Linked DNA regions of Struthio camelus. The protein of the gene in region 1 purifies or fractionates together with the protein of each later gene. This does not show direct contact. Links are inferred from orthologs where the notes say so. Each region holds a gene or a part of one and is shown in the gene's direction. Other genes may lie near its edges. The genes, in order: DIS3L, EXOSC6, MPHOSPH6 and GIGYF2.

Region 1 (6,905 bases):
ATTGCGTGAGAACTGTACATTATACTTTTTATGATAGATTAGTGCAAGGAGCTGCATATTAATCCTGAGACCATTCTAGATATGGGCACTATTTTTACAGTATTTGGGTTTTACTGAACCAGCAATACAGGAGAAGGAACCTCCAAGAGAAAAAATAGCATTTATTCAGTTTTGTATGAGTTAAGAAGCAGATGCTGAACTTCAAAAACTGCTTTAAGAATGCTTCAAAATTTCTTTAAGAATGGAAGAATCAACTTTAAAGATATCCTGTAAGACAATCGAATCTTCCATCCTCTACCCTAGCGATAGCATTCTTGGGAAAAATATGGCCTCTTTCAAATGAAAATACAAGATTTCTATTGATAACTTGGCTGTGTGGATACCAGACTTAAATACTCTGTCTCCTGTTTTGTGTTACTTTCTTAAATCTTTTTTCTCAGAAAGCCTGTAATAGGGCCTTATAGTTTATGTAATCCCGTCTTGTGGTGGTCTGCTGCCGACTTGTTTATAGGCACAGTAGCAAACCAGAATATAACTTCCTATATACTTTTCTGTGCTTACTGACAGTCTTAAGCACAATTTTAGCTGATGAAGCCCAATTTAGCTATGCAGTCCACCTCCCAACACTGGGGAAGGGAGCAGCTAGTGGCCTCTAATAACAGGCTGTACAAAACTCAGGAAGAAGTTCCCTTGCAAGAATAAAACTCAGCAGTTGCTTTGCCAGGACAGAAGTAAGGTATATCATAAAGTATATCTGTGTGGTGCCAACCGACACATACTGGTAAGCAGGTGAGCTAGTATTACATTAAATGGTCAACAATGTATTACACCTATTGCTGAATACCTGCTTTTCGTTTTATCTTGCGCATGTTCCACTTCCACATATATATGTCTGACAACAACCTACGTGATATTTTACTTCTACATCAGTTGCTTAGGTTAATTGTTTCCAGCTATTTGTCAGATGAGTCAGGCTTCAAGTCATGAGAAATCTGAGCTAGAAGCTGATACTCCCCAATGACCTGAAAGTTTTCTTTGCCAAAATACTGAGCAACTTCTATCAAAAGGTACTATATTGAAATTCTGCATTGCACCTCCTGACCTTTTTATAAGTAGGGAGACTTCCCGAGAGGCTCATGCTTCCCAGCATAGGCAACAACAAACATGTAACTGAACTTTCTAGAGAGAGTTCTCTGACTCATTTAAAACACAAGCTTTTCTAGTGCTTACTAGCGTTATCCAAGGCAGTAACTCTGAAGTAAGGAGAATACTCTATGAAAATAAAGAAATATTTGTACTATTTTATTTTCAACTGTTCTACCACATTTTGTTTCTTGGACACTTAGAGAAGGAAAAACTTCAGGAGGAAATTTATGTCTCACTGCTTTGCAGCTGTGCTGCACTCCACTTTCATTTTTCAACATGCAATGAGATCTTACAATATTGCATTTTTAAACATTTTAGCAGCTTTAAAAAAAAAAAAAACAATTAAGGATGATCTTGTTATCCTGGAAGTTTTGGCTCTCCCTCTACCCTGCAGCTTCACCCTGCAGAAACTTCTTGCCACGTATAAAACCAATTCCCAGATGATCTATCTCAAATCTCATTAGGCCAAACTCAATTGTTAGATGAAGTGTAAGTAGCTCCTTTTGGCTTTACTGACTCAACTCTAAACTGACTTTTACTTGTAAGAGAATGCTCTTGGGTGGTGGTGGGGGGAAATGGTGAGAATTTTAAAAACTGTCCATTTTAGAAATAAGCATGCAGCTACTCAGTAGTATCAGCATTAAATGAACTTAGCCCAAAGGTCTGGCATTTCTCTCTGTGAAACAGTGAACAAATTAGAGCACTGCTCTCAGTCACTTTCATTTAATTAGCCTTCATTTTATTACAGTCACTGAAGGACACTGAGTAGGCATGCAGGCCTGCGTTCTTCACTGTGTTACAGCAATCAGCAGCTACAGTGTTTCAAACTGAATTCAGTGACTTTTCTCTCAAATGTTATATTTTTCATTCCTTTTCTGTCACTACCGTTTATTTCATCTTTGTTCATACTGTAGAAGAGCTCTGTCATTTTGGTCTCCACCCCCCCTCCTCTCCTGCTTACATAATATGTCTAAAATCATCCTGACTAAGAAAAACAAGTCTACATTTTGGTCGTCTCTCACCAAGTTGTACTACCTCCTCCTCCTCATATGTTTGCGGACTTGGCTTCTGAAAATCAATTTTCTACAGATAGATGGCACTTCCATTTCCTGCCACCAACTGATTACTTAAAAATATTAGTCACTGAAGATACGCGTTTTATAAAATATGTGAAAAATAAGCAATAGAACAAACAGGAACATAGAGTGAAACACTGCCTTGGTTCTTTCCCACTGTCCCTTGGTTCTTTCTTCTCATAAGGACAAATACTAGATAGCTTACACCATGTATGTATTTCAAGTGAGGTTATGATAGATGCAATTCTGAGAAAGTATTACTGCTTTTTTATATTTAGAATAATCATCGCCAATAGGTTACACCAACATCATTGCAGCCTCATATGCAGAGCGCTGACTCAGACTCAGAAACAATGAGTTGTATTCATCACCCTGCCACTGCTTTTCCGTTTGATCATGGGCAAGCACTTCATCTTTCAGGGCCTCAGTGTTCCCATTTGTAAAATATAAAGGGCAATAATGGTCTCTACAGTAAAATTATTTGACTTGGGGCTTTTGTGCACTCCTCACTCACCCTAGCCACATTCCCCATCTTAGCACCCCTGGTGCTGGGAGGTGACCAAGCGAAACCAGATGATCTGAGAAACGGATCTGGGGCTGTGCCTGGAATAGGCTATGAAAGACCATGACGGTTCACATGAGCATTTATGCAGGACTACAGTTTAGATACAGCAAGACAGCCTCTTCTTATTTTTCCTAGACACAGAAACAGAAAAATTCACCATGTATCTTCACCACCACCACCCTCAGGCCACACAATCCACCCTAACAGAGGGCAAATTCTTCCCATTTGCCTTCCAAGGGACATCCCAGCCACTTTTTCAGTCTTTCCTCCACAGGCCCAAACCCTCTCAGTTTTACCTCACCGAGAGGAGAGCTATCCTCCCTGCTCACCCAGGCGCACAACCTGGGGCTCCAACGAACCCTGGTCCTCGCCAGGCTCCCCCTCAGCGCTGCTCCTAGCTCCGCCTCGAGGCTCGTCACCTCCCCTCAGCCCCCAGCTTGCCGCTGGCCCCTCACAGCTGCCCCGCTGCCCTCGGCTCGCTCCCGCCTCTCCCCTCAGAGCCGCCCCGCTGCCCTCGGCTCGCTCCCGCCTCTCCCCTCAGAGCCGCCCCGATGCCCTCGGCTCGCTCCCGCCTCTCCCCTCAGCGTCGCCTCTGCCCTCACCACGACCCCGCTGCCTCGGCTCGCTCCCGCCTCTCCCCTCAGCACCACCCCGCTGCCCTCGGCTCGCTCCCGCCTCTCCCCTCAGAGCCGCCCCGATGCCCTCGGCTCGCTCCCGCCTCTCCCCTCAGCGTCGCCTCTGCCCTCACCACGACCCCGCTGCCTCGGCTCGCTCCCGCCTCTCCCCTCAGAGCCGCCCCGCTGCCCTCGGCTCGCTCCCGCCTCTCCCCTCAGAGCCGCCCCGCTGCCCTCGGCTCGCTCCCGCCTCTCCCCTCAGAGCCGCCCCGCTGCCCTCGGCTCGCTCCCGCCTCTCCCCTCAGAGCCGCCCCGCTGCCCTCGGCTCGCTCCCGCCTCTCCCCTCAGAGCCGCCCCGCTGCCCTCGGCTCGTTCCCGCCTCTCCCGTCAGCACCGCCCCGTTCCCTCAGCCCGCTCCCACCTCGCCCCCGCCAGCTCCGCCGCCCCGCTCGCTCTCCTGCCCGCCCTCCTGCTCCCCGCCCCTCGCTCAGGGGGAGGCCCTGCCTCTCACGGTCGCACCGCCCCCCGCGCCATGCGCAGCGGCCGCGGAGCGCCGGGCCTGGCCTAGCGGCGGCGGCCGCCGCTTCCCGCCGCCGCGATGCAACGCACGGAGAAAGTGCTGCAGCTGCGGGGCCAGCAGGGCCGCTCGGTGCGCGTCGTGCGGGAGCACTACGTGCGCCCCGACGTGCCGTGCCGCAGCGCGCTGTGCCGCGCCGCCTGCCCGCGCGGTGAGGGGGCTGCGGGGGGGAGCGGCCGCCGGGGCTGCGCGGGGCGGAGGCGGCGGGAGGAGGTGGCAGGGCGGCCGGGAGCCGTTTGCCTCGGCGTGGAAAGCGGCCGGGGCCGGGCGCGGAGGTTGGTGCGTGCGCTGAAGCGATCCCCGGGCCGGGCGGGCCGGCGGCGCGGCCTGACAGGACCCGGCGGGAGAGGGCGCGGAGAAGCGGAGCAAGGGGCAGCGAGTAACGGGCGTGAGAAGAGCAGGACGAGAGAGTGGAGGACGTGTTGTAGTGAGGCAGGGGCGAGGGAGGAGAGGAGAGGGGGTGAGGCGCGGGGTTCGGGAGGCGGGTGGCGCCGGCCGGCAGAGAACGGGAGCGCTCATGGCACATCTCGCCCCGCCGCCGCCCCAGGGCGGCCTGTCCACGGTGCTGAGCACCGCCACATAGCGGCGGGGGAAATCAGGCAGCGCCAAGTCAGGGGTATAGCGAAAATACACCCTCAGAGCAAAATTCGCACGAAAATGAGGTGCTAAGAAAAAAGGAGAGCTGACAAGGGAAGTTGATTGTTGCAGGATTTGGCTGTAAACAGTTATTTTACAGACGCTGGTAAAACTCTAAAGGACCATGCAAGTTTAACGGGGGGAACACTCATGTTTTTGTGCTTCCTTTTTTAAAGCTCTTTCAAAAATGGATTAATTCCTGCAGGGCGTTGAGTTCCTGTGTAGCTTGAACTAAATTCTCTACGTATTTGTTGAGTATTCTTACAACGGGGCCAAGTAGGTGTCATTGAAACTTGTGTAATTCTGCGTCAGCAGTTATGTTGGTTCAATAATTAAGTTTAATTGTCCCTGCTATACCTGGGCATTTCAGACATGGGAAGACTGCCCGCTTCTGTGATTTCTAGGTTTCATGTTGTTTTTACATAGTGCAGCGCTCTTATGTACGTTATAGATCACCGTGTGATTGTTCGTTGATGTTTCTGGGTTTTTTTGTTGTTAAATAACACAATTTATTTGGTGCAAGAAAATAAATGACAACCAACACAACGTATAACACGTTTAAATCAACCAAATTATCTGCTGGCCTAAAAGAAAAGGCTAAGAATTTTAACTGTTTTTCTTCTGAACTGTAGTTGGCATAGATGTTGTCACCTCTGTTTTGTTTTTAGATGCCTGTTGTGATGGAGGGCAGCAGGTAGAGTAGTATATTACTTCTATCTAAGATGTCAGGACAAGGTTATTGTTACTGCTCTGTAATGGGTCTGGGAGCTGTTGAGATGTGTCATGTATTAATTCCTTTCCTTATGAATTCCCTAAGGATAAGTTACAGGCAAATACCAGACCAAATTCTTGCCTCTCTCTCCATGCCTAACTTCTGGACTTAAATGTAAATTGTGCCGTAATCAGTGTCAGAGTATGTCCCTTTGTAATTATTCTAGGTAACTCAGAAGTATGGTGAACATATGTTTTCACTCCTGAGTCTATATACTGTGCCGAGCAAACATATTTCACGCACTGTGGGAGCCTGCTTGCATAAATCACATCCACAGATATTTTTAATGGCATGCTATGCCTACTTAAAGTTATTCTGATCTAGATGTGTATGTTAGGCAAGGATAGCTTAATGTGAGCAGATTACATACATCTTCAAGTGACATTTCGCTCCTAATCCTCTTCTGAATTAGTAATAAAAATTAACTTTGTTATATGCGTCCTGCCATCGTCCCTTATATACCTTCAGTGTGAGATACAGCCGCATGATGCTGTGCAGAATTGTGCCCACTGGATTCTCACTTCTAGGGATCAGAGTCAATAGACAGACTGACTTGTGTCAGCTTCTAAGAAATATATGAAAATAACCTGATTTGTCAGGGTCTATAAAATTTGAATGTAATCTGCCAGCACTATTTTAAGTCCAGCAGTTCAGTGTTTGTAATAACACAAGGAATAAATAGACATGGAGAGAAAATGCAGTGGAGATCCCAAGGAAAAAAAAAGTTTACTGAGTAATCTCTGAAATATCAAAAGCAATTAATTAATTTTGGGGTATGTTTTAAAAGTTCTTATGTGATGGGTTTGTTTTGAGATTTTGATGGGATATGATTAAGGGATGGAGTCTCTTTAGAGAGAATTAACTATGATGGTAATAATTAGATTTGAGAACCTCTTCTCTTTATAATAGCATTGCTTTTCTCCATGTGTACCCTCACGTATAACCTTTTATGTACAGATACAGAAAAGAGCCTGCTGTAAGTGGAGAGTGTTGAATGGTGAAGATAATTGCACAAAAAGATTTGCTGTGGCAGATGTGGTCTCTCTTTTTATGTGGAAGTAGAGGAAACTGGACTGTTACCTGAACTTTTCAAGTGACATCCTTTTTGTAATGAAACCAGATTTTTTTTCACTCATTTAGATAGTATTTACTCAAAATTTTTTGCTCAGTGGATAATAGAAGGGCTCAGTCACAAATTGTAGGAATTGTACCGTAGCAGACGTACCATTTAATTGAACCGTGAAAATTCTGTTCCTCAGAAGAATAGATATATATACCTTTTGAAGATCCACAACTAGGATTGCCTCGCATTTGACAGTATTTTTAAAAAAACAATATTGCAATTGAAAGTTTAAACCTTTACACTTTGAATTACATTTTAGATGGCAAATTGTTGTCAGATGATGTGACTCATTATGTTGTCCCTGACTGGAAGGTGGTTCAAGATTACCTTGAGATTCTTGAGTTTCCAGAGCTGAAAGGTATTATTTTCATGCAAACAGCGTGTCAAGCTGTGCAA
Region 2 (5,518 bases), on another chromosome or scaffold:
ACAGAGTCCTCTGGGAGTCACATGTGTCAGAATTTATTCAGGCCCCTGGCACTGCACTCCCCATTGAGCGGGGAAATGGATAGGAGCCCCCATGCCTGGGGCTGCAGCATTCCTGATGCCTTCTTATAGCCAGAGCTCAGCTCAGTAACTCTCCCCGCAAAACATAACTTGAATTTTATTCTACTAGGCCCTCAGGAAAGTAGACAGCCTCAAGAAATTGCTGTCTGACTTGGACGCCAAAGTAAAGGTCCAGACAGCTCCCAACAAGGATGTACAGAAGGAGATTGCAGATCTCAGTGAGGTGAGGATGAGGGCACTAATCTACTTTCCTAGAGTGAGTGGGGTCCTTGATTGCCAGCAGTGGGTGATGTTAACAAGGCCCAAGTTCAGTTTCCTGCTCCTGTATCTCCCTGGATAGTGTCTGGAGTCACCTGGTCTCAATTATCCCCATGGGTGTAGTTGCCTGCGAACTGTAGTCTTGTCCTGTAGAGTACAAGCAAAGCAGAAGCGTTGCGTCCTGTGGATGCTGCAGCCAGCACCTCATTCCTGAAGTCATTGGGTATTGGGAGGGGTAGCTTACTGGGCTCTACCAGTCAAGGCGCTTGGGGCTCATGAGAGTGGTGCAGCAGCCCCTGCCTTGTGCTGTGGTCACCTAACCCTTTCCTGTTTTGCAGACACTGGCCACTGCCATTATTCCACAGTGGCAGAAAGATGAGCTGAGAGAGGCTGTTAAAGCACTGAAGAAGGTTATGGATGACTTGGACCGGGCAAGCAAAGCCAACATCCAGAAAAGAGTGAGCCCTATGCAGGAATCAAAGGCAGTTTGGGAGAACCTGTGGGGGCTCCCTTGGGAGCTTCCCTTTGGCCCAGCACAGAAGGGAGCTGAGTAATGGGGATGCCCTGCTCTCTCCTCAAGACCTGGTGGCTGCACTATGGCTCTTGCCTCCCTGGCATGGAGGTTGGCTCACCCTCTGCAACTGTGTTAAATGATGGGGGCGCTCTGTAGTAAAGAGCTTCCACTGCCCTTAGCACAGCTGCCTCTGCTGCTGGTCCCCAGCATGAAGGGCCTGCGGCACCTCCTGGGAGATGGGAGGCTCCTGCCCTCATGGTGGAGCCCCTGTGCCTGAGTGGCATGCGATATGGGGTTCTTTCTGAATCTCATTGGATTTTCCTGGAGGGGCCACCACTCACAGCAGTATTGCTACTTTGCAGATCAGACATGCACCTGCCAGCACATTTTGCTTTTGGCTCTGCAGTGTGGGGCTGCTCCAGGCTGGGCCATGGGTGTGTTGGGAGAACCTTGGGGGGCCTCTGTAGCTGCAGAGAGGTTTTACCCAGGTCTTCTTTGTGTCCGTATGCAATGTGCATGCTTCAGCTTCTGAATGCTGCTGTTCTCAGGTGCTGGAGAAGACAAAGCAAGTCATTGAGAGTCACCCTAACCAGCCACTGGTCATCATGGAAATGGAAAACGGAGCCTCAGCAAAGGTATGGGAAGGTCTGGTCTCTCCCCGACAACTCTGGTTGTGCTTAAGAAGTAGCTAGATAGTCCCTGTTCGCTTGAGAAGACAGTGCTGTGTTACAGAGCCAGCTTGCAACCTGCCAGCAGTGCTAGTGAAGAGGGGGAAGGACCACTGTGATGATCTCTACGTCCTACCTCCTGGGTTAACAAACATGTTGGAGGGGGTCTTGGCTATATGCTGAATCTCTAGACCTGGTGGAAGATGGGGAGCCATGCAGAAATTGCACTGGGTCCCAGATAAGAAGGATCTCAAAGGAGTCATGAAATGCAGGCTGCAAGAACTCTTAAAAGCAGGTCTGCTGATCCACAGAAGTTGTATTGCCTGTGACTCTTGCAAATCAGCTCTGGAAACACAGTGTCCTGGACTAAGTGTATGGATAGGACAATACTGCAGAGCTGTTCCCCAGCTCCTGGGCACTGCATCTGCTGCAGTAAGGTTCAAGTTCTTCTTTGGTCAGGGATGAAACTGCTCTGTCCCTCCTCCTCCTCCACACAGAAGTTAAGTTTCTTTCCTAGCAGTTGCTGTTGTGAATAAATGCTCTCTTGTGTGCGCTGCACTGCTTAGCCTAGCAAGTGACAGGTGGCGGGGGCCGATGTTGTTGTGATGTTGGAACCATCAAGTTTTAATGTCCCATTTAAATTTCTGCTTCAGCAGTCTCTGAGCTGATCCTGCTTATAGATTCCCACCCACTCTCTTTGGCTGTCCCCATCTCCATGGTGCCTGCGCTCCTGCTCACAGCTGTGTGGGAGTTGAAACTGTTGCTTTGTTTGCAGGGTTGTTGCCACAGAGGGTGCCAATGCGGCATTCTCCCTGGTGATGGGAATGCTCCACGGAGCGTGCGGCTGTGAGCCCATCTCTGGCAGATGGGTGAATCCTGGGGGATGGCAGTGCAGGCAGCCTAGGGGAGCAGCCATGTGTTTAGTAGCCAACTGCTGCAGCAACGCTTTGCTCACTAGAGAGCCTGCTCCAGGAGCTCTGTGCTGTACCGTGCTGTCCCCAAGAGCAAAGGATGACTGTCTTAGAAATAATAGGATGCCTGGCAGTCTCCCTAGTCTCTCCAGTGTGGCTGCATTGTCCGATACCCCTGTAGCTTCTTCACGTTCCAGGCAAGTCCTCCTGACTTGTTGCTCTCCACAGAACAGCCGCCCCCTCCCTTGAATACAGCAGAGCATATTCCGCTCTGTCTGTTACACTTATAGCCAAACCACAGGTTCATTCACTTTGTGGGTGCAGAGCCATGAATTTTGCAAGTCTCCAGATAGCTGAACGTAGGGAAATAAAAGCATATCCTCAGTCCCCTCTCCCTGCAGCTGTGAGGGGGCACAGTCAGGTAGCTGTGTGCAGCTTTCAGCAGCTGCCTGCAGCCAGAAAAGCAGGTTGTCTCTGCCACGACTTCACCACAGCCAGGGACATGAAGAGGCCCTGTGCTTGGGAGAACGAGCGCCACAGGGTGCTGCTAGCTGTTTTAATACAAGTCCGGATTCCCTACTGGCTGGTGGGTTGTACTCTGGTCTCTGAAGAGACCTGCAGACCATCCTCGTCATGGCTGCATAGTGCTGTGTGGGGACTGGAACAGGGCTGTTTGCAAGCTAGGTGGAAGATGTGCTGACGTGACTGTTGTCCCACAGGCGCTGAATGAATCTCTGAAGCTCTTCAAGACTCAGTCCCCCCAGACTGCCACCATGCTTTTTGCTGTAGATAACGAAGCCGGCAGAATCACCTGCCTGTGTCAAGTACCCCAGGTAACACAGAGTGTGCGCATGTGTGTGTGTGTGTGCGTGTGTGTGTGCGTGCCTTTCTCTGAGCCTTGGGGTACCCACCAGCTGGAGGAGCGGCATCTAACATTGCAAGGCCAAAGATGCAGGTTTGCAGCAGCTGTGGTCTCTCGCCTTTGCATTATTATCATGCTGCAGGGTCAGAGGAGGGGTGAGGTATTGAATCTTTTTGGTAAGAAGCAGGAAGAGCCAGCATTCAGTGTGCTCATGCAAACACCGAGGCAGGATGTTTGCCACTGGACTGCTGGCATAGCTTCTCCCCACCCCTGGGAGCTGCAAAGGAAAGAGGTTTGTCCTATCCCACCGTGCTCTTAGCCTCTCTTCTGAGGTTTGAGCTCCTCTTTTTTTTCTTTTTCCCCCTCTGTGCAGGAGACAGTGAAGAAGGGCCTGAAGGCCAGTCAGTGGGTGCAGGAGGTGTCTGCGTTGATGGATGGTAAAGGCGGCGGTAAAGACGTCTCTGCACAGGCTACAGGCAAGAACGTTGGCTGCCTGGAGCAGGCTCTGAAACTGGCCACGGACTTTGCCAAGCTCCACTTGGGGGAGCTGAAGAACTGAAGGGCGCCGTGTGCTGGCCCTGGGGGAGCAGCCAGAGGCCAGCGTCTGCTGCTAGCCCGGGGGCGGCGGGGCCCAGCGAGAGCGGGTCGGGGTGCTCCGGCGGCCGCGCGGTAGGCGCGGGCGGGAGCGCGGCGCCTCTCGCCCTGCCCGGCGCGGGCAGTTTCAGCTGAGCAATGGCTGAGTACTAATAAAGGGCCCGTGCCCTGCGCGCCGCTGGCTCTCCTTGCGGGGCGGGCTGGCTCCTCCCTCCCTCCGCCCCTCCCTCCCTCCCTCCCTCCCTCGTTGCCTGCCTCGTTGCTGCGGACGGCCGGAGGATGCCGCTGGATCACCGCCGCCTGCGCGGCCCTGAGGAGTCGCAGCCGCCGGAGGTGTGGGCGGCGGCGGCCGCCGGGCCGGGGGGGGCGGCGGCGGCGGCGGACGAGGAGGAGGAGGAGGGGGGGCGGGACCCGTGCGCCTTGCGGCCGCTGTTCGCCCGCGCGGGGCTGCTGAGCCAGGCGGAGGGCTCGGCCTACGTGGAGCTGGGCTCCGGCACCAAGGTGCTGTGCGCCGCCTGGGGCCCGCGCGAGGCGGCGGCGGAGCCGGGCGGCGGCGGCGCGGCGGCAGCGGGGGGGCGGCTGGTGTGCGAGTTCCGGCGCGCGCCCTTCGCGGGCCGCGGGCCGCGGGCGGCGGCGGCGCGCGAGGCGGAGCGCGAGGCGGCGGCGGCGCTGCGCGAGGCGCTGGAGCCGGCGGTGCGGCTGGCGCGCTACCCCCGGGCGCGCCTGGCCGTCAGCGCGCTGCTGCTGCAGGACGGCGGCTCCGCCCTGGCCGCCGCCGTCAGCGCCGCCGCGCTGGCGCTCGCCGACGCCGGCGTGGAGATGTACGACCTGGCGGTGGGCTGCGCCCTGTGCCGGCCGCCCGGCGCCGCCGCCGGCTGGCTGCTGCAGCCCAGCGAGCCCGAGGAGCGCCGCGCTGCCGCCTGCCTCACCGTGGCCCTGCTGCCCTCCCTCAACCAGGTGTCGGGGCTGCTGGGCGGTGGGCAAGGCGGGCCCCCCGACAGCTGGGCCCAGGCCCTGCGCCTCGGCCTCGATGGCTGCCACCGCCTCTACCCCGTGCTGCGGCAGAGCCTCCTGCGCGCTGCCCGACGCCGGGCCACCCCATCGACTGCCTGAGCCTGCCTGAACTGCCCCCTGCACTGCTGGAGACCCCGAAGTCCAGCTGAGTGGCCCCTGTACTGCTGGAGCCCTCCGGATTTGTACCCGTGCACTGCCAGAGACCCCCAGAGCCTGCCCCAGCAGTCTCCTGCACTGCCAGCGACCTCTCTAGAGCAGCTCCCAAAACTGCCTGAGGCCACTGGAGCCCACCTGAGCAGCCGCCTACACTGCCGGAGACCTCCAGAGCCTTCCTGAGGAACCCCGTGCATCACTGGAGACCTCCCAGTCCCCAGGTCATGCCTGAGCAGCCCATCCATATTGCTCAAGCCCCCCCCCCCCCCCCGAGTGGCATCCATACCACCTGAGCCTCCTACATTTCTTCAGTGGCCCCCACACAGCCTGAGCCCCCCAAAGCAGCCCCTACCCTGCCTCAGCTGCCAGAGCCTGCCTGTGCCACCCTCTACACTGCTGGAGCCCACCTGGGCCACCCAAGGGACTGCCTACACTAGCAAGATCAGCTGCCTGAACCACTGGATTC
Region 3 (7,462 bases), on another chromosome or scaffold:
ACCTTTCATGCAATGTGACTAGTTGAAACTATAAAAAGATTCAGTCACTGTAGAACAAGCCTGCAGCATCAATGTTTATTAAAGTCAGGGGAACCATTTATTGACCTGGGAAATAGCAAACTACCACCAGCGCTGCTGCATTGCATTTTTATGGCTAACAAATGGAAGGTAATATTTTCCTATTCTCTTTTAATTGTGATTCCATCAAATCCAAAAAGTTAAAAGCCTCTAGATTTTTAAAGGAAAGCCCGGAGAAGGGCACTCTAGACCGTGCCTTAGTCATTCTCCCTGCTCTGACTCCTAGCATTGGGATATATCAAATCACTGCAACATAGGATCAACTTTTTAGGCTTGCCAACAGAATAACAGACTGGTATCTGTTATCCACGCCACTTTAGGTGATGGTAGAAGATAGGGAGCTACCATTATGAAGCTGCTGCTTTTTGTAATCAAAAAGGAATTACTGTATTTATTCACACAAAGGTCACCCTGCCATCGGGACAGTCAAAAGCACTTAAAATGAATTGTCTTTTCCCAAACTGACAACAGGCACTTTCTTCAGATAAAAACATTTCTTTGCTGTTCTGGAGGTTTTGTAACTCCATTTTCCTGCAAGTACAGTTTTAAGTCATGCCTTTTCACACTGCATAAATTGTGATACTGCCCAAGGCTATTAAAGAGAAAACATGAGCAACGTGGGTCTGTGGTACCCAAATTATATGAGCTTAGCTTCTGCTGTAGGCTTTGCATACAGTTCCCCAAGCAAGGGAGAACTTGGGGTTCACCGAGGATGTAAAATACTCTGCATATGTCAATGCTGTAACCTAAACCGATGCCAAATTTTAAAAAGGGGACTTCAAAAACTAGAAGGATGAGTCAGTACGCTCTGAGCTGACGTGCTACTCTGAGGCTGAGAGCTGTAACAAGCCCATATCCTCTGCGGATTAGGTACAAAGCAGACTGAGCAACGTACCCGGGCCGCCAGGTTATACATGCATGCATCAAAGGCTAATGAATATTGTAACAAATCCCTGGTCACCCAGGACCTTCGGAGCTGTCGATATGCTGTATGCATTAGTGGCTCAGAACTTCATGGGAACAACAGAGATAAAAACTCAGTCCTGCACTTCAAAAACATGGGTGTCTACCGCTTGGAGAATTTCACACTATTTCTGCCCAAAGCACGGAGTACAAAACGGAGTGCATTTCTGATTCCATCCTGCTGGATACAGCACGCCGCACCTCACACAATGCTTTCAGATTTGCAAACAAATCTCCAGTAGCTCTGCCTCTCGTTTGCTCTTGCTCATTCACAGAGAACAACACATAATAGCCTCACTTAAAATATAGTAGAGGAGTTCGACACAAATGAATGACTCATCTGTCATGCTATAAGGATTTTGATTTTTGCAGGGAAAAAATGGCTTCAAATATTTTGAGACGTGTAAAATGGTGCTTCATATTCAAAGACCGTTCATAAGAAATCTAGACGATTGATAGAGGGTTTGAGAGACCTGTTTTGTCCTGGAATCACAATACCACAAGAATATGAAGAAATGAAAGGTTACTGGAAAAGGAACCTATGAGTTACCTCAGATTAGAGCCCATTGGCATGAAACTAGTACACAACTGTAATTTGTATTGTTCTAAAAAGGATAACTGTTTGAATAATGTTAATGACAACTTTGATTCCACTCCTGTAATTACTGGGGGGAGATGGGACTGCATTTCCTAGGAAGAAAAATCTTTTATCTGTTTGTTTAACATACAGTCTTTGATGAGTTGGAGCATCTTTCCCTTGAGTTATTTTCCTGAGCATTTTTGTTTTGAAAAATAACTGAATTTTCAGGCTGAAAGCAGAGTTGCCATAGAGCTGTCAGAGCTGCGAGAGGTGTCTGATTGTCATTTCAGATGACCCTGGTGTCTTCTCTAAACCGAGCATCTTTCCCTACTTGCCTCCTCACTCTGCTCCATCTCAGAAGCAGGAATATTTTCAGGGCTAGAGTCTACTCTCACCTACCCCCCCCCCCTCAACCAGTAAATCATAGAGATTTCTGCTCTCATCAGTGGCATGTCTTCAGATTTAGCAGACAGTATAATCCAGTCCGTGAGACAGCTGATTGTTATCTATAACCTCCCCATCCACTTCAAGCGATGGGAGATGTAATCCAAAAATTTCCTTCCGACTTTTTTACAGCTGAAATACATCAAATCCTGTGGCAGCCTTTTTACGATCTCCACTTCTCTAAATAAACATCACAGCGCCTGTACTACATTTACTGCCAAACGCTTCTGCCTTCAGGTTTGGACATGCTGAGGCAGGCATGCTGTGTTAGCTGATGTCCAAACGTACAGGACAGACGTAAGCCACGTGTCTCCGTGCAAGGCTGCGGTCCTGCACCGAGACACCATCAGGTCACGGGGTGCATCCAGGCTGTGGCCGCGGACCCAGAGCTCCTACTCGCCAAGGAACACATTGTGAATTATTAGACTCAGCTCCCAAAAATTAAAGGGTTGGTGCTAGCACGCTCCTTAACATCAAAGGTACCAGGCAACCAACACGTGAAGAGGTGGCATCCAAAACAAAGTTGTAAGAGAAGTTTGCTGGAGAAATGGGTTGCAAAAATGGATGAGATGAGTCACTACACCAGCAGAACAGGAAGGAAGTTGTGACGAAGGACCTCAAACAAAGCCCCGCAAAGCAGCAGCACAAAAGCTGGACAAGTGTTGACAGATGCACAGCAGTGTATTTAGAAGGAATCACTTGAAGTACGTTCCTGGACTGTAAATTAACTGAAACTGTTCAGAAAAAAAGACCTGAGTGACACTGAAGGCCATGCAATTAAACGCAGGGCTCAAAAGCACAGCAACGATCAACACGGCAAATTGAAAATAACACCCAAAATAGCAAGATAATGGATGTACTATGCCATTATATTAATTAATAGCTCTCCCATATTGGTTTATTCCGGTCTTTCACAAAGACAAATATACTCATTCTTCGATGCATATTTGTATTTGTAAAACTCAGAACAACTGCCCAGCTTTCTTTTGTTGGAAAGAGCTGATGAATGTTAAAGAGAAAGTGAAAAAAGAAGGTATAAACCTGATGGGGCTAAATGAAGTGGGAGTTATGGGCCACGCTCACAAAGAGACTTCCTTGCTGGGGCTTTGAATTTCAGAAACACTTAAGCACTTTCAATTCATTTTCAGACCTGGAAATGAGGGTGCTCCACCTATATGAGAATTACTTACTTAAATGCAGTTTTATCACTGTCCTAAAAGTGATTGTGGCTCTGTGTTTCAATCATTTTAACCTATGGAGCTTAACTGTGTAATAAAGATGCCTGGATTTTGATAATTCTTCCTTCTCCTTTCCCACCGCAGGCAGGTTTTGCCCTTCGTTATACATTTTTGTGAACTCTATTAGAATATAAATCTTTACATATGTTCTTCAAGCTCACTTTGACCTACATTTTGGATGTATGGCATTTTTTTTTCCTAGTTCGTTTTTTTGTGCACCCCAGTTCGTTACACTTTTGCACGGTGTACCCTCACTCTTCTTAGTTTATTGCCTGGTTTATATGTACTGAGCATCCAGAGAGGCCTCGGGAACCTGATTTATCAGAAGGTATATGGAAATTGTGGTACCTGCTTGTGTTTTGGAAGTCACCCGAAAATTGGGAGTCAACTGAAATTATGCCAAAGGAAATTTGGCGTAAGGATTTCTTCGTGAGCGTCCAGAGCCCAGCCTGGTAGCCTAAAGGGAGAACTGCCAAGCTCGGATTCCAAAATCGTGATTCAGGATGAATCAATCATTTGAAGTTTTTTATAACAACTCAATTCAGTTGCTTCCCAGTTTTAATCACATGACTATTTTGCCTTTTTTTTTTTTTCCTCAAGTAAAAGCGCTTACTTTTAAAAAACGAAACCTAAACAGGTCACGCAGTCTCTCAACGCCAATATGAGCAAACTTTATATAAAATCTCCCTCCTTCCTTCCTATAAACACCAGAAAATTATGGACAAAACTCTACACTACGCAGCGCTAATAAGAAATCCAGGATCCAGGACGCTTTTATTTAATCTTATTTTCGCACCAGCTGGGGAAGACGGGGCCTTCCCAGGAGCGGGCCGTTGGCCGGGTACGCGGGGCGTCGAGCGCGGTTAGGGAAGGCGGCCCCAGCCCCTCGCAGGCCGTCGGGAAGGAGGGTCAAGTCCCAGCTGCGGCCATCTGCCCGCGGGGCGCTGCCCCTTCCCGCCCCGTTCGCCTCTCGCTCCCCCCCCCCCAACCCACGCAGCAACCTTATTTCCTCGGGATTATTAAGTAAAAGCAGAGGGGCTCAGGCTCCGGCCGGCCCCCTCAGCAAGAGCAGGGCGGCGGTTCCCCAGGCCGCCGGAGCCGCCCCCGAGCGGGAGGAGCCGCGGCGCCGCCCTCCTCCTCCTCCTCCTCCTCCTCCTCCCCCCCTGCGAGGGCGGCGGCGGCGCTAGGCGAGGGCGGGGATCGGCCGCGGCCTGCTGGCGGCGCGGGCCCGGCGGCCGCCATGGCGGGCGAGGTGAAGGCCAAGCTGTCCAAGAACCTGCTGCGCATGAAGGTGAGGCGGCGGCGGCCCTCGGAGGGGACGGGGCGGGTGGGCGCGGGGGTTGCGCTGGGCCCCGGCGGCGGCGGCTGAGAGCCGGTCGGGACCGGAGCCGGGGCCGCCCTCCGCGGCCGGAGGGATCAGCGGCTGCCGCTAGGCCGGGCTGCCCCCGCTTTGTGTATTTCCACCCCCCCCCCCCAAAAAAAAAAATCCCCCCAAAATTTTTAAAAAAGATCCCCTCCGGCCATGCTGCCCCCCCCCCCCCCGCAGCCCCCCGTGTGTTTGAAACCCTGGTGAGAGGGCTCGGGGGGTTGGGGCAGGAGAGGAGCTTCCCGATGGCAGCGGAGATCTGCCTCCGGCAAGAGGGCAGCCCCGAAAAACGCTGGAGCGTCTCTTCTCGCCCTCCGGTTTCTCTGCGAGCAGGTCGTTTGTCGTGAATAAAAACGATTAGACTTCTTCCCTTCCCTTTCTATTATGTTAATACTGCTTGCCTTATTTCAGGGAGCTTTTACCCTTGATACTTCTGTGCTTGGTTGTGTGTGTGTGTGTGTGTGTGTGTTCTGGTTTTTTTTTTTTTTTCGGTCAGTTTGCATTGAACGTGGGGTTTTAACCACCTTTCCCTTCCCTTCTGCCAACCCATGAACGCCAAGGCCATCAGTAAAATAAAATAGTGAGCTACCCGTTACCCTTGGAGTTGTGACCCTCGTGTCAAGGCTGATGTGAAGCGAGTCTCCGCTTGCCGGCCCGTGGCTTCTGGTTCACATCGTGTAACGCAGCCCCTAATTCAGCAGAGTGCATCCCGCTGTGATTGATGGCCCTCTTTTTCTGGAAAACAACCAGTACAAGTTGCTATTAATTGGGGTTTTTTTGTTTTTTTTTTAAGTTCATTAAACATTTGTAAGTGGCTGAGCCCTTGTGGCTTCTTGATTGTGGTGTTTTACCTAAGCGTGTTTTTTTTCCCCACATGTATATTTGAGAGCATAGTTCCCATTTTTCGCAAGATGCCAGCGGAAAGGAGTTTATCTTCCATGTAAAATGGACTCTGCTACAGAGGGATGGTGGAATATTAACAGATTCTGCTAGCGAAAGACTAAAATTGGTGCGCAGAGGGAACCAGACATAACGTTCCTTATTTTTCAAAGCGAGTAGATGATGCACTTAGTTAGCCAGCAGCGCGTGGCAGAGGAGGACTCCTTTTGCCTGGATTGCATTTGATACTTTCTTTTTAAGTGAAATTCCTGCTACTGGTTTTGCCAGTTTATTAAGCCTCGGGAGATTTTGGCAGCCAGTTTTCAGATGCCTCTCTTGAAAGGCTGTGGAGAACAGGCATGCGAGTGCAGCGCCATGACAATTGCTGGTTTAGTATGAGCAGTAGGTCCGCTTTGAAGAGATGAATAGGCTTTGCAAAGGCCATACATAACCCATTTTTATTTAGCATTTTCCTTCTACAGATCTCCTTGTTTACCAGTATTTTAATTAATCGTGTAAGAGTTGCCTCTGCAGGTATTGTCACCATTCTAAGGGCAGGTTCCCAGTGAACTGGGCCCAGAAGGTGGTGTGGTCAGTGGCAGTGCTGTTGAAGCCCCTTGCATTAATTGCCGGACTCCACGACTTGCCTCGTGGTGTCACAGCGTGGCTCACGCTTCTGATTCTTGCACCGTTTGATCCAGGTTCCATTATTCGGGTAAACTGATCCAGGAAACACTCAGCTAATGACTTGCGTGTTCTGTGTCTACCACAATTGGTATCTTTTAATTCATTCATGCGTGTTTACATTGTAGATAAATATGATCACATTTTTTTATCTAGTTATTCCCTGTGGTAATCTGTAGGAACATAATCTTTAAAATGTAGTGTAAAATGATTATTTAATTGGGTGCGTGTAACAAAATTTCTCCTGTTGAGACTTCTGACTGGCTAACCAATTTCCATGAGCGGTATGGTTTTCCACATGATAGATTCCCATATTTTCCTCAAGTAGATACTGCAATTTTAATTGGAAAGCTTTGACATGTTTTGGGCCGACTCAGAAAACAAAAATCAATTTTTCTTTCATTAACTTGTACACGTGGATGCAAATAGAAATATAAATGGGAAAGGAGACACTGGCACTGTATTGGCTTTTACTTCAGGATTTTTTGTTTCATGTTGCTGTGGGCATTTTGTAAAGTCTGAAAGGGGGGGGGGTATATATTTTTTCTTTTTTTAATAAGCTCAGTGACACGGGAGCTGTGTGTGAGAGGCGTTTAGGGATGCCTTCCTGGGCCTTACCCCCAAGCCAAGGCTATTCTAGCTGGGACCAAAAGTATGTCAGAGCCTCTGCTACCACTCAAGGTACAGATGTGCCCCACTGGCTTGTTAACAGTCAGCCTGCAGGCTTATCTAAACACAGGAGTGGTGCTGCTTTAAATGAGAGGGGTAGAATTAGTTGATATGAGATTCCTGTGCAGCGGTGCACATGCCGTTATACAGGTATGCTTTGATGGCCACATAGCAATTTTTGTACAGGTATGTGTATAAAATTTACTGATAGACTAGCCTCTTGCTGGGAATTGTGTTGCTATAAATGTGTAGCCCAGACAGATAAGGTTATTCAAAGGCTTTCTGTAGACTCAAAGGGAGGTCCCAGCTCCTAGGGATGTGAGAATATAAGGGTTATTACTGTAAAGCTGTGAAGAGTTCTCCTTTCTCTAGCGTGTTTGGTGAAATGGGTTAACATTGTTGATGCTTAAATTGGCAGTCAGCTCAGGCACTTGAGCTGATGCAAATGGAAATAGAAGGGGTGTTTCACGTATCTCAGATGTGTAGGTTTGCTCTCTCAGCAGTCTGTCATGGGCTGTGAGAGATGCCCTCTCCTACTCCCAGCTGTGAAGGAGGTTACAG
Region 4 (7,829 bases), on another chromosome or scaffold:
TGGACAGTGTGACTGGATGGCACATTGCATTTTTATCTTTGGAAATCTGCTCATAGCCTGAATCATAAAGGTGACTTTGATTTCATTAGAGCCATGCTAGATAAAACTAGCCCAGCATACTGATCAATCCCTGCTCCAGAAGGGACAAGCAGACAGATTAGCACATGTAGCTGGACTGAATTTAGAAGGCTTGCACTAAGCTTAGCCATTTTCTTTCACAAACACAGAAAGCTTGCCCATAGATGTTAAAATGCCTGAATCTTGTCTGGATATACTCTGTAGGTCATGACCAAGGGAAACAATGTTCCCTTGGTGAGACCTCTCTCTAAACATGGATTTGCTCAAGTTATTTGCTCTGTTATTGCCCTGGTTTGTGTGTGTATTTCTTTTTTTTCCTCCTTCCAAAACAAAACTCACTAGTCGTCTTTTCACTTGTCTGTTCTGCTTCTTAAACTGTGAGCACTAAGCTGTGAGCATGGAATAATAAATAGAAAAACCTCTACTCTTTAATGTCAGGTGAAAGAATTGCTAAACAATTAAACTGTGTATATATCTTCACAGATTATATTTTATAAAATCACGCTTTTTTAGCTAAATATTTATAATTAAATGTTTTTATACTTTACAACAAAGCAGATAACTGCATCTTCAATTATTTCTCCTGTTGCTGAAATGTACAAATAAAGCCTTGTTATCTCCAGTCTTGCATGTGGTTGATTTTGGGTCCTTCCTCCTGAACATGCCTCTGTTTGAGCCCCAAAGTTTGGTGGCTTGACTTGGATAAGCAGAGAAGTGTTCAGCCCCTTCTCGATATGCCCTCTACTGCTATACAATAGTTCTGCTGTAAAAAGCCCTAATGTTTGCAGTTCTTCTGAAAGGGATGTGGCTGTGCAAATATTTGAAACACTGTCCACTGCAAAATGTTGATATCTGAACATTGTCAGCCTTCCCTTATCTTGAAATAGATACTGCACCTCAGCCTCTAGTAGTGTCTCATCTGGGAGCCTGAGTAGGTTGGTCTAACTACATTTCTCTTTGTGTTTCATCATCCTGCCTTCATAGGAGAAAAATAAATGCATCACAATCTGCAAGCGTTTCCAAGAATCTTATTCTACTTGTGCTGATCTGCTAAGCTTTGCTGGCACGGCCAGTGTGGAGGGCTAAGGAGGAGGCCTAATTAGGCTTCATTGCAGGTGTGATCCAGTGATGAAATGGAAATGCTGTATCCAGTACAGATCTTCAATCTAGCACTGCTCTGTGAGCAGTTCATGCATTTGCTGCACATCTGTGAGCCCTCAGGTCTCTGGGGTCATGTAAAAATCAGAGTGAAGGAAGGCTCCTTGCTCTCCACTTCCTTTTTGCAGCTGTCAATGTTCCTTTTCCCCCTCCTACCCCACCACAGCAAATGCTGCTGCCTTGGCATAGCAGTTCTACAAAGGGAAGCAGGTAACATGTGGTTGGGGGAGGAGCCCTGGGGAGCAGGAGGGGAGGGTGGAAAAAGGACTTCCAAAGTGACCATTTTAAGACTTGAGTCAACTCCAGCTGACAAGTTTCAATAAGGAAATGAGTAGCATGTCTGGCCCTGAGGTAGCTTGGACTGCAGAGCCGGGAAGGTAAGGATCCTTCTTTTGCCATGCAATCCCAACGTAGGTGGGTCAGCAGGGACAGGGAGAATTCACAAATAAGGAAAAAGGGCTGCTGGAGTTGCCCACCAAGGAGATTATCAGTAGGCCTTGGAAACTTGTCATGTCTGTAGTCAAGACTTTCCTCTTTAGCCCTTCTCCCAAAGGGTGGACTTTGCTCATTAGTCCTTTTCCCAAAGGGTGCTCAGTCTATCTGCTGAACTAATTGGATTTTTTTTCTCAGCCCAGGCTTCTTCTGTGAGGTTCCTCTTCTCTGGCGTATGCAGGACAATGGCATCAGGTTTCTCAATGTTCAGTTTTCTGCTAGAGTGGTTTTGTTCAATTCAAGCAGATGCTGTTAGCTGGGGTCTGTATTTAATGCAGTGAACAGTATGTGCTTTTGGGTGTACAAATTTTTTTTTGTTTGAAGGTGCAGCAATGTAAGTTTTGAAGTTAGTTTTACAAGAACTGGCATTTGGAATATAAACGCTCTTTAAATTTTCTGTTTGGCTCGGAACTATTGGATTAAATAACATAGCGTCTTCAGGTTATGCAGAAGTGCTAAAAAAAAATTGCCTAGATAAATCTCCAATCCAATACTTATTGGCCCACAATACCTATTCAATCTTATTTAGCTGTACTTAAAATCTTACAGTCTTTGATACTATGTCCTCCTTCATGTTACTTTTATGCTTGATATCACCACAGGTGGCTCCAGCAGGCCCAGGCAATTCCAATTCTGGTTTCCGATACCTGCTGGTACATCGATACCAGTCTGGCATTACTGACATGCTTGGAGTGACCGTGTGCGTTGTGATAGGGAGGAGAAGTGTGAAGAGAGAAACCCTAGAGAGGTGATTGATGAAAAACCTGTTGTGGATTTGGGTCTTTTCCAGAAGGGAGGAAGACGTGCCTCAAATTGCTCATGTAAAGCTCAGGGAAAGGGAAACAATATGACTGGGAGTATCTCGTCTCTTCTTCCTGGATAAGCGTTCAGGCTTTAACTGTGAGAATTAAGGTGACCAAACTGATTTTTAACCTTTTGGGAGTGTCCAAATAAATCCCTTGGCAAGGCAGATTGAAGTGACCAGAGTGCTTTACTGCTCCTGTTCAAAGTTAGTTTGCAGTGTGAGAAGGACGTCTTAAAATAACTGGGTGCTGCAGAACTAGCAGTATATTTGTGATAGTTTGTCTTTCAGCATAAGCCACCTGGGGTGACAGACGCATTGAAATGACTGACTTTAAAGAACACGGTCCGGTGTTCACCTGCCTGCCTCGTCTGTTGTTTTTATTATTTTTTAGGGACTTCACAAATGAGGGCTGTTCACCATTCCCAGGGAAGACAGAGGCTGTTGAGAAGATAGCGACTGTTCTCAGACAAAATGCTTGGTATATCAGCAAACACAGTAGCTGTGTCTTAAAGTAACTAAAACTTGAGGTGAGGAAGGCAGAAATGACGGACTCCGCCATGCCTTCTGAGCTGCTTTATGACGATTATTTACCTATTCAAAGCTCTGCTCTGCGTCCCTAGCTCCACTGCTATAGTAAAGCAGGCAGGCTCCTGCTTCCAAACTAGGATGCCTTCAATAAGGATTTCTTTTGGTTCCTTAGCGATTCCATTTCCCTACCCTTGGGTTTTTAACAGTGCAGTTGAACTGGCATGGCATCCGAGATGGCTTTAAAGTACATCATATCTTCAGTACCTTAGTAAATGTCAGACTGGCTAGTGAGCTGATTTCATACCTAGAGTACATCAGCTGCAGTCATGTAATTAAACCATGGAGGAATTTAACTGCACAGATACACTCCTCTATGTTCATGACTCACTGTTCTGCTTGAAAGTGTTATGGATGATTTAAGTGTGTTATGGATAATTTGAATTTCCTTGAGATATTTTCAAAAAACGCTAAGTTCTGCACATGAGACATCTTCCAGACACTCTCGTCTTGACATTTTTCTCTCAATAATGTAATGTTTGTGCTAACCGGGGGAAAAAAATTCTGTAAGTTTTAAACTTCTCCCATCTCCGATGTAGCTTATCTTAGAGGACATGAGAGTATTTTTGAGTGCTCCTACTCACGTTCAACAAGCAGAATAATAAGGCACAGCCACTTCTGGAGTGAAGCTGAAAGGTCTGACTGGCAGCTTGATGCGCACCACTGCATCTCTCCCTACTCACACCGTTATTGATATTGGCTCGAGCTGTGTGGCAATAACCAGGAGAATCAAAATCTAGCTTATCAGAGCCCTTTGCTAGGGAGCTTTCTTTTTCAAACCAGCCTCCTAAAGGAGAATTTTCATTCTAAGATTTTGAAGGGAAGCAGTCCTCTGTTGCTCTGGGCTAAAAATAAGAGCTCAGAATGATGAACTTTCAACCCGTTATCCCAGAGGAATCGCTTGTGTGCACTGTCGCGTCATCTTTGGCCAGCATTCAGTGCACAATGACAAGTATTTATTCACCTAGAAGAGCAGAGCTAAAGCTAAATGGATTGTGGCTGAAGTCATGACTGTTTCAGCTGAAAATGGTTATTTCTCCAAAAGCACGTAACAGCTAAGAGTAGCTTTTTTAGGCTGAAATAACCACACGGGGCTATTCCGCGTCGTGTACGAACAGGGGTTTCAGGGCTAAAAATAAAACAGTATTTTTCAGCTGGAAAAGCTTGCCCTGAGCTCCTGACGATGTTCCCGTCAGGCAGTTTAGTATCAAAACAGCTGCTGTGCCACCTACCGCGTTTTCTCCAGCTGCCAGCGGCGGCCGCCGCCTGAGGCCCGGCCTGCCCTGGCCGGGGGCCGACACCCGGGGGCAAAGCACCCGCCTAACACACCGTCGGCTCCCACAGCCGGGCAGCACCGGGCGGGTTTTCAGTGCAGCCACTAGGACGGAATATACCCAGAGGTAACCTAAAACCGCCAGGCGTGAGGGCGAGGAGCGCCAACGGCCGCGGCGCCCGGCGCCGCCTCCTTCCCACAGGCCTTTGCGGCGCGGCGGCGACCGTTGGCGCCCGCCTGCGGCAGGCGGCGCTCGCGCTCCTCCTGGGCCGGGGCGGGAGGGGGGGGCTGCGCGCGCATGCGCCTGGGGCCGCCCCCTGCGGGTGTCGTCAAGTGGGCGGTGCTTCCGCGAGGGCGGGGAGGGGGGAAGGGGAAGGAGGAGGGAGGGGGGAGGAGGAGGGGGAGGGGGAGAGAAGCCCGTTTTCCATCCGGGTCTCTGCGGCGGAGGCCGGGGGGCGGGGCCCGGGCTCACGTGACGTTGCGTGGCGGCGCAACCGCCATCTTGTGTTGTTGGGGCTGAGGAGTCGCGGTGGCCGTGAGGGACTCTCCGTCCGGGAGCGCAGGTACCGCCGCGCCGCCGCTGCCTCCGCCCGCCTCACCGCCGTCCCACCGCGGGACCGCACCGAGCCGAGCCGAGCCCGCACCCCGAGCCCCGGCCTCGCCGGCGGCGGCCCCTGTCCGCCCCGAGCCCGGGCTGCCGCAGCCCGGGGCGCCCTGCGGCCTAGCGGGAGGGAGGCCGCCCCAGGCCGGGCCGGCGGCGCGGGGCCCCTCTTGGGTCTCCCCTGCTCTCCTCGGGGCTTGCTGGGCCCGGCGCCGCGCTCCCCGCCGCCGGGCGGGCATCGCACTGTCCGTGCGGCCCCTTGGCATTAGGGTTCGGCTTAGGGACGGTGCCTGTCAGGCAGCGGCCGGGCGTCGCGCCGCGTCGCGTCGCTTCGCCTCGCCTCAGCGCCTGAGGGGCTGGCAGCTGCGGCCCCGGCGCCGCCTCCCCTTGCGCTGACCCGTGTGAACTCGCTCGTCCCCTCCCCGCCCCGCCTGGCTGGGCCTGTGTTTTGGCCGTGCCGCGGGCAGGTGCGCCCTCGCTGAAGCCTCCGTGCCCGGCTCCCAACACGCCCGGCTCTGTCAGGTTGTACGGGCTGAGGAAGGAGGGAGCTGGTCGCGCACTCGAGCCTTTCCCCCGCAGGCAGGAGGGTGCTGGGAGCAGCAATGACCAGCAGTGTTTGACTGGAGAGGCCTTGGCAGGCTGAAGAGCACATCGATCAGGATTATGTACGTTTGGTATTGATCCAAGACAAGTAGTTTCAGTGTCAACAAAGCAGTCTCCGCTCTTTCAACTCTGTGTAACTGCACTTTGAAGTGGGGCAAGTTTTAGGCCAAAAGGAGACATTGCCAAGTGACACTTCTGGAATAAAACCTATATTTTCCCCAGTAGTCTTCAGCCTGCTGCTTTTGATTTGCTGTTATAATACTACTCTCTCTTACTGTAATTCTTATGTATCTGTTTTCTTGGGGTGGAGGGGAACAGACTTTTGAATTCTGCCTATGTTCTTCTGTCTAACTTCTTGCTGCTCATTCTGTTTTCTTGCTTCAGGATCTGACTTGGGCAAGTTCCTGGAAAGTACGTGTGAATTTTCTTTCCTTTTCCCATAACTCTTGCAGTTGCGTTTTATTTTTAAGTTACTTCTTAATAAACACATTCAGTTGATGCTTTTTCTGAATAGAACGTTTGGTAGATGTACAGAGTGATAATTTGGACCCTTTATGAATGAAATTGGTTGCTGTAGTCCCTAACAAGAGCTTGTTACAGGTATTCTTGAGCTCTGTTTTTCAGTGGTGGTTGTAATAGATAATACTAGTTCTAGTGTCATGCAGTATTGGTGTTACTGGCGTTCACTTGACTGGACCTCCTTTGGTCAGTTAACTGATGCTGAGGTAAAACTATATGCCCTAGTCAGTCCTAGTGGTGTCAACAAAAATGCTAAAGTGTCTTTTGCCCCTTCTGCACCCTCTCCACCTCCCACCTCATATAGACGTAAGTCCTACAAGTTAATTAATGTCCAAGTTCATGTGTGTCAATGTTAATTCCTCACTGAACATGTGATTGAAAACAAAGATTCAGTATAATGGCCAACTATATTAAAAAGAACGTAGAAGTTTATCTGCAGGAGTTGAATGTCAGCTGTCGCCTTCAGGAGGACCTGCTTTCTATTTTTTAGGATGCTCATAGAAAGACTTTAATACCTCAGTAAAAACTCTGACCCTTGTAGATCTTCTCAGATTCAACAGATGTTGATCTTAAGGGGACTTTAAAGTATCCTCAGATACTTAGTGGCTCTCTTGCCTTCCTAAAAACATGCAGTAAATGAAAAATGAGATCTCTATACTGACAGAAGTGAAAAAGCTGCATGTAAATAATGAGTTGAGATTTTACCTTAGTTTTTCTAATAAATCCACTTCTTGATTGATGAAAGGATTTGGCGTGTCAAAGGGGAGTTGAAAAGGGTCTGCAAGGAAGCTTTTTTTAAGGAGAGTTCAGAATAAGTGCCATTGTTTCTCTTCTTCTCCTGCTGTCTCCTAAGGTCAGTTGTCTAAATGGAGTCGTATCAGAAACTGGAGTTTCTTAAACCTGAATGTGAGGAAAAAGTTGGCAGCACTTTTAGGATGTGTAGATACTTCCTTTCTGAAGCAAACTTGATGTCAAAGTCTTGTAGAGCATCTCATTAGGGTAGGCACACAGACTGACTGAAGAGGTTATTTGCTAGTATGTACCTCTGCTGAAAAGTCTTTGTAGTTATTTAAAGGTACAAAGGGAAAAACAGTTGGCAAAATCAGTTCATAGTAATCTATGAAGATGAGTTAGGCGCATGGACCATGATCTTTTCCTTCCCTTCTTCACCCTTCTTTAAAGTGGTTCAGCCTCCAGCTCTTTGGTGGTGGTGTTGGAAATGTCAAGAATATGAAATATGATTCTGCTTACTTTTGTCTGCTCTTGTAAGCTCAACTATCGAATGCGCTTTTCTTATTCTTGCACTGAAGTCTTTAACCTCCCTTCCTACTGCTTTTTAAAGTATGAAGCTAAATCTTCCTACAGTCTGATTTTTAAAAATTCCTTTCCTTAGCTTTTTTTGTCTATGCTTATGTCTTTTTTCTTAGTGCCCCTGCTCAAAGATGAAATGAGATAAACTATATTTAATTTACAAATAGAGATAGGCAGAGGTAAGGGACTGAGCAACAACATTTCAGATCATAAACCTCAAAGCATGGGCCTGATATGTTTCCTCCTTCCTACATAGCTTGCTGGAGATCTATTGAATGTTTTGGTAGGGAGAAATCCATCTCCTTGTTATTGAAAAGACATTTATGTTGAAAGAGATCTCTTTCTTCATGTGGTTTCTCATTGATTTATTTTAATTCATTGAGTGACAGTTGAAAACTTAGGTG

What was found.
Region 2: the proteins of DIS3L (region 1) and EXOSC6 purify together in Homo sapiens (affinity purification with mass spectrometry; 3 studies listed by BioGRID and IntAct, with this or other methods). This does not show direct contact. The link is inferred for Struthio camelus from reciprocal best matches to the Homo sapiens genes DIS3L and EXOSC6.
Region 3: the proteins of DIS3L (region 1) and MPHOSPH6 purify together in Homo sapiens (affinity purification with mass spectrometry; 3 studies listed by BioGRID and IntAct, with this or other methods). This does not show direct contact. The link is inferred for Struthio camelus from reciprocal best matches to the Homo sapiens genes DIS3L and MPHOSPH6.
Region 4: the proteins of DIS3L (region 1) and GIGYF2 purify together in Homo sapiens (affinity purification with mass spectrometry; 3 studies listed by BioGRID and IntAct, with this or other methods). This does not show direct contact. The link is inferred for Struthio camelus from reciprocal best matches to the Homo sapiens genes DIS3L and GIGYF2.

The regions. Positions count from the first base shown.
Region 1 is NC_090953.1:3,230,613-3,237,517, reverse strand, and holds the start of DIS3L (DIS3-like exonuclease 1), read left to right. Parts: upstream 1-3,881; 5' UTR 3,882-3,999; coding exon 4,000-4,129; intron 4,130-4,196; exon of another isoform or gene 4,197-4,253; intron 4,254-6,768; coding exon 6,769-6,905. UniProt on the Homo sapiens protein: Catalytic component of the RNA exosome complex which has 3'->5' exoribonuclease activity and participates in a multitude of cellular RNA processing and degradation events.
Region 2 is NC_090951.1:26,414,262-26,419,779, forward strand, and holds EXOSC6 (exosome complex component MTR3), read left to right. Parts: upstream 1-4,164; coding exon 4,165-4,998; downstream 4,999-5,518. Other genes in the region: AARS1 (alanine--tRNA ligase, cytoplasmic), read left to right, coding at 188-301, 675-794, 1,399-1,485, 3,149-3,262, 3,665-3,850. UniProt on the Homo sapiens protein: Non-catalytic component of the RNA exosome complex which has 3'->5' exoribonuclease activity and participates in a multitude of cellular RNA processing and degradation events.
Region 3 is NC_090951.1:5,795,594-5,803,055, forward strand, and holds the start of MPHOSPH6 (M-phase phosphoprotein 6), read left to right. Parts: upstream 1-4,445; 5' UTR 4,446-4,543; coding exon 4,544-4,594; intron 4,595-7,462. UniProt on the Homo sapiens protein: RNA-binding protein that associates with the RNA exosome complex. Involved in the 3'-processing of the 7S pre-RNA to the mature 5.8S rRNA and play a role in recruiting the RNA exosome complex to pre-rRNA; this function may include C1D.
Region 4 is NC_090950.1:5,921,010-5,928,838, forward strand, and holds the start of GIGYF2 (GRB10-interacting GYF protein 2), read left to right. Parts: upstream 1-4,823; 5' UTR 4,824-4,954; intron 4,955-5,571; exon of another isoform or gene 5,572-5,657; intron 5,658-5,979; exon of another isoform or gene 5,980-6,006; intron 6,007-7,829. UniProt on the Homo sapiens protein: Key component of the 4EHP-GYF2 complex, a multiprotein complex that acts as a repressor of translation initiation. In the 4EHP-GYF2 complex, acts as a factor that bridges EIF4E2 to ZFP36/TTP, linking translation repression with mRNA decay.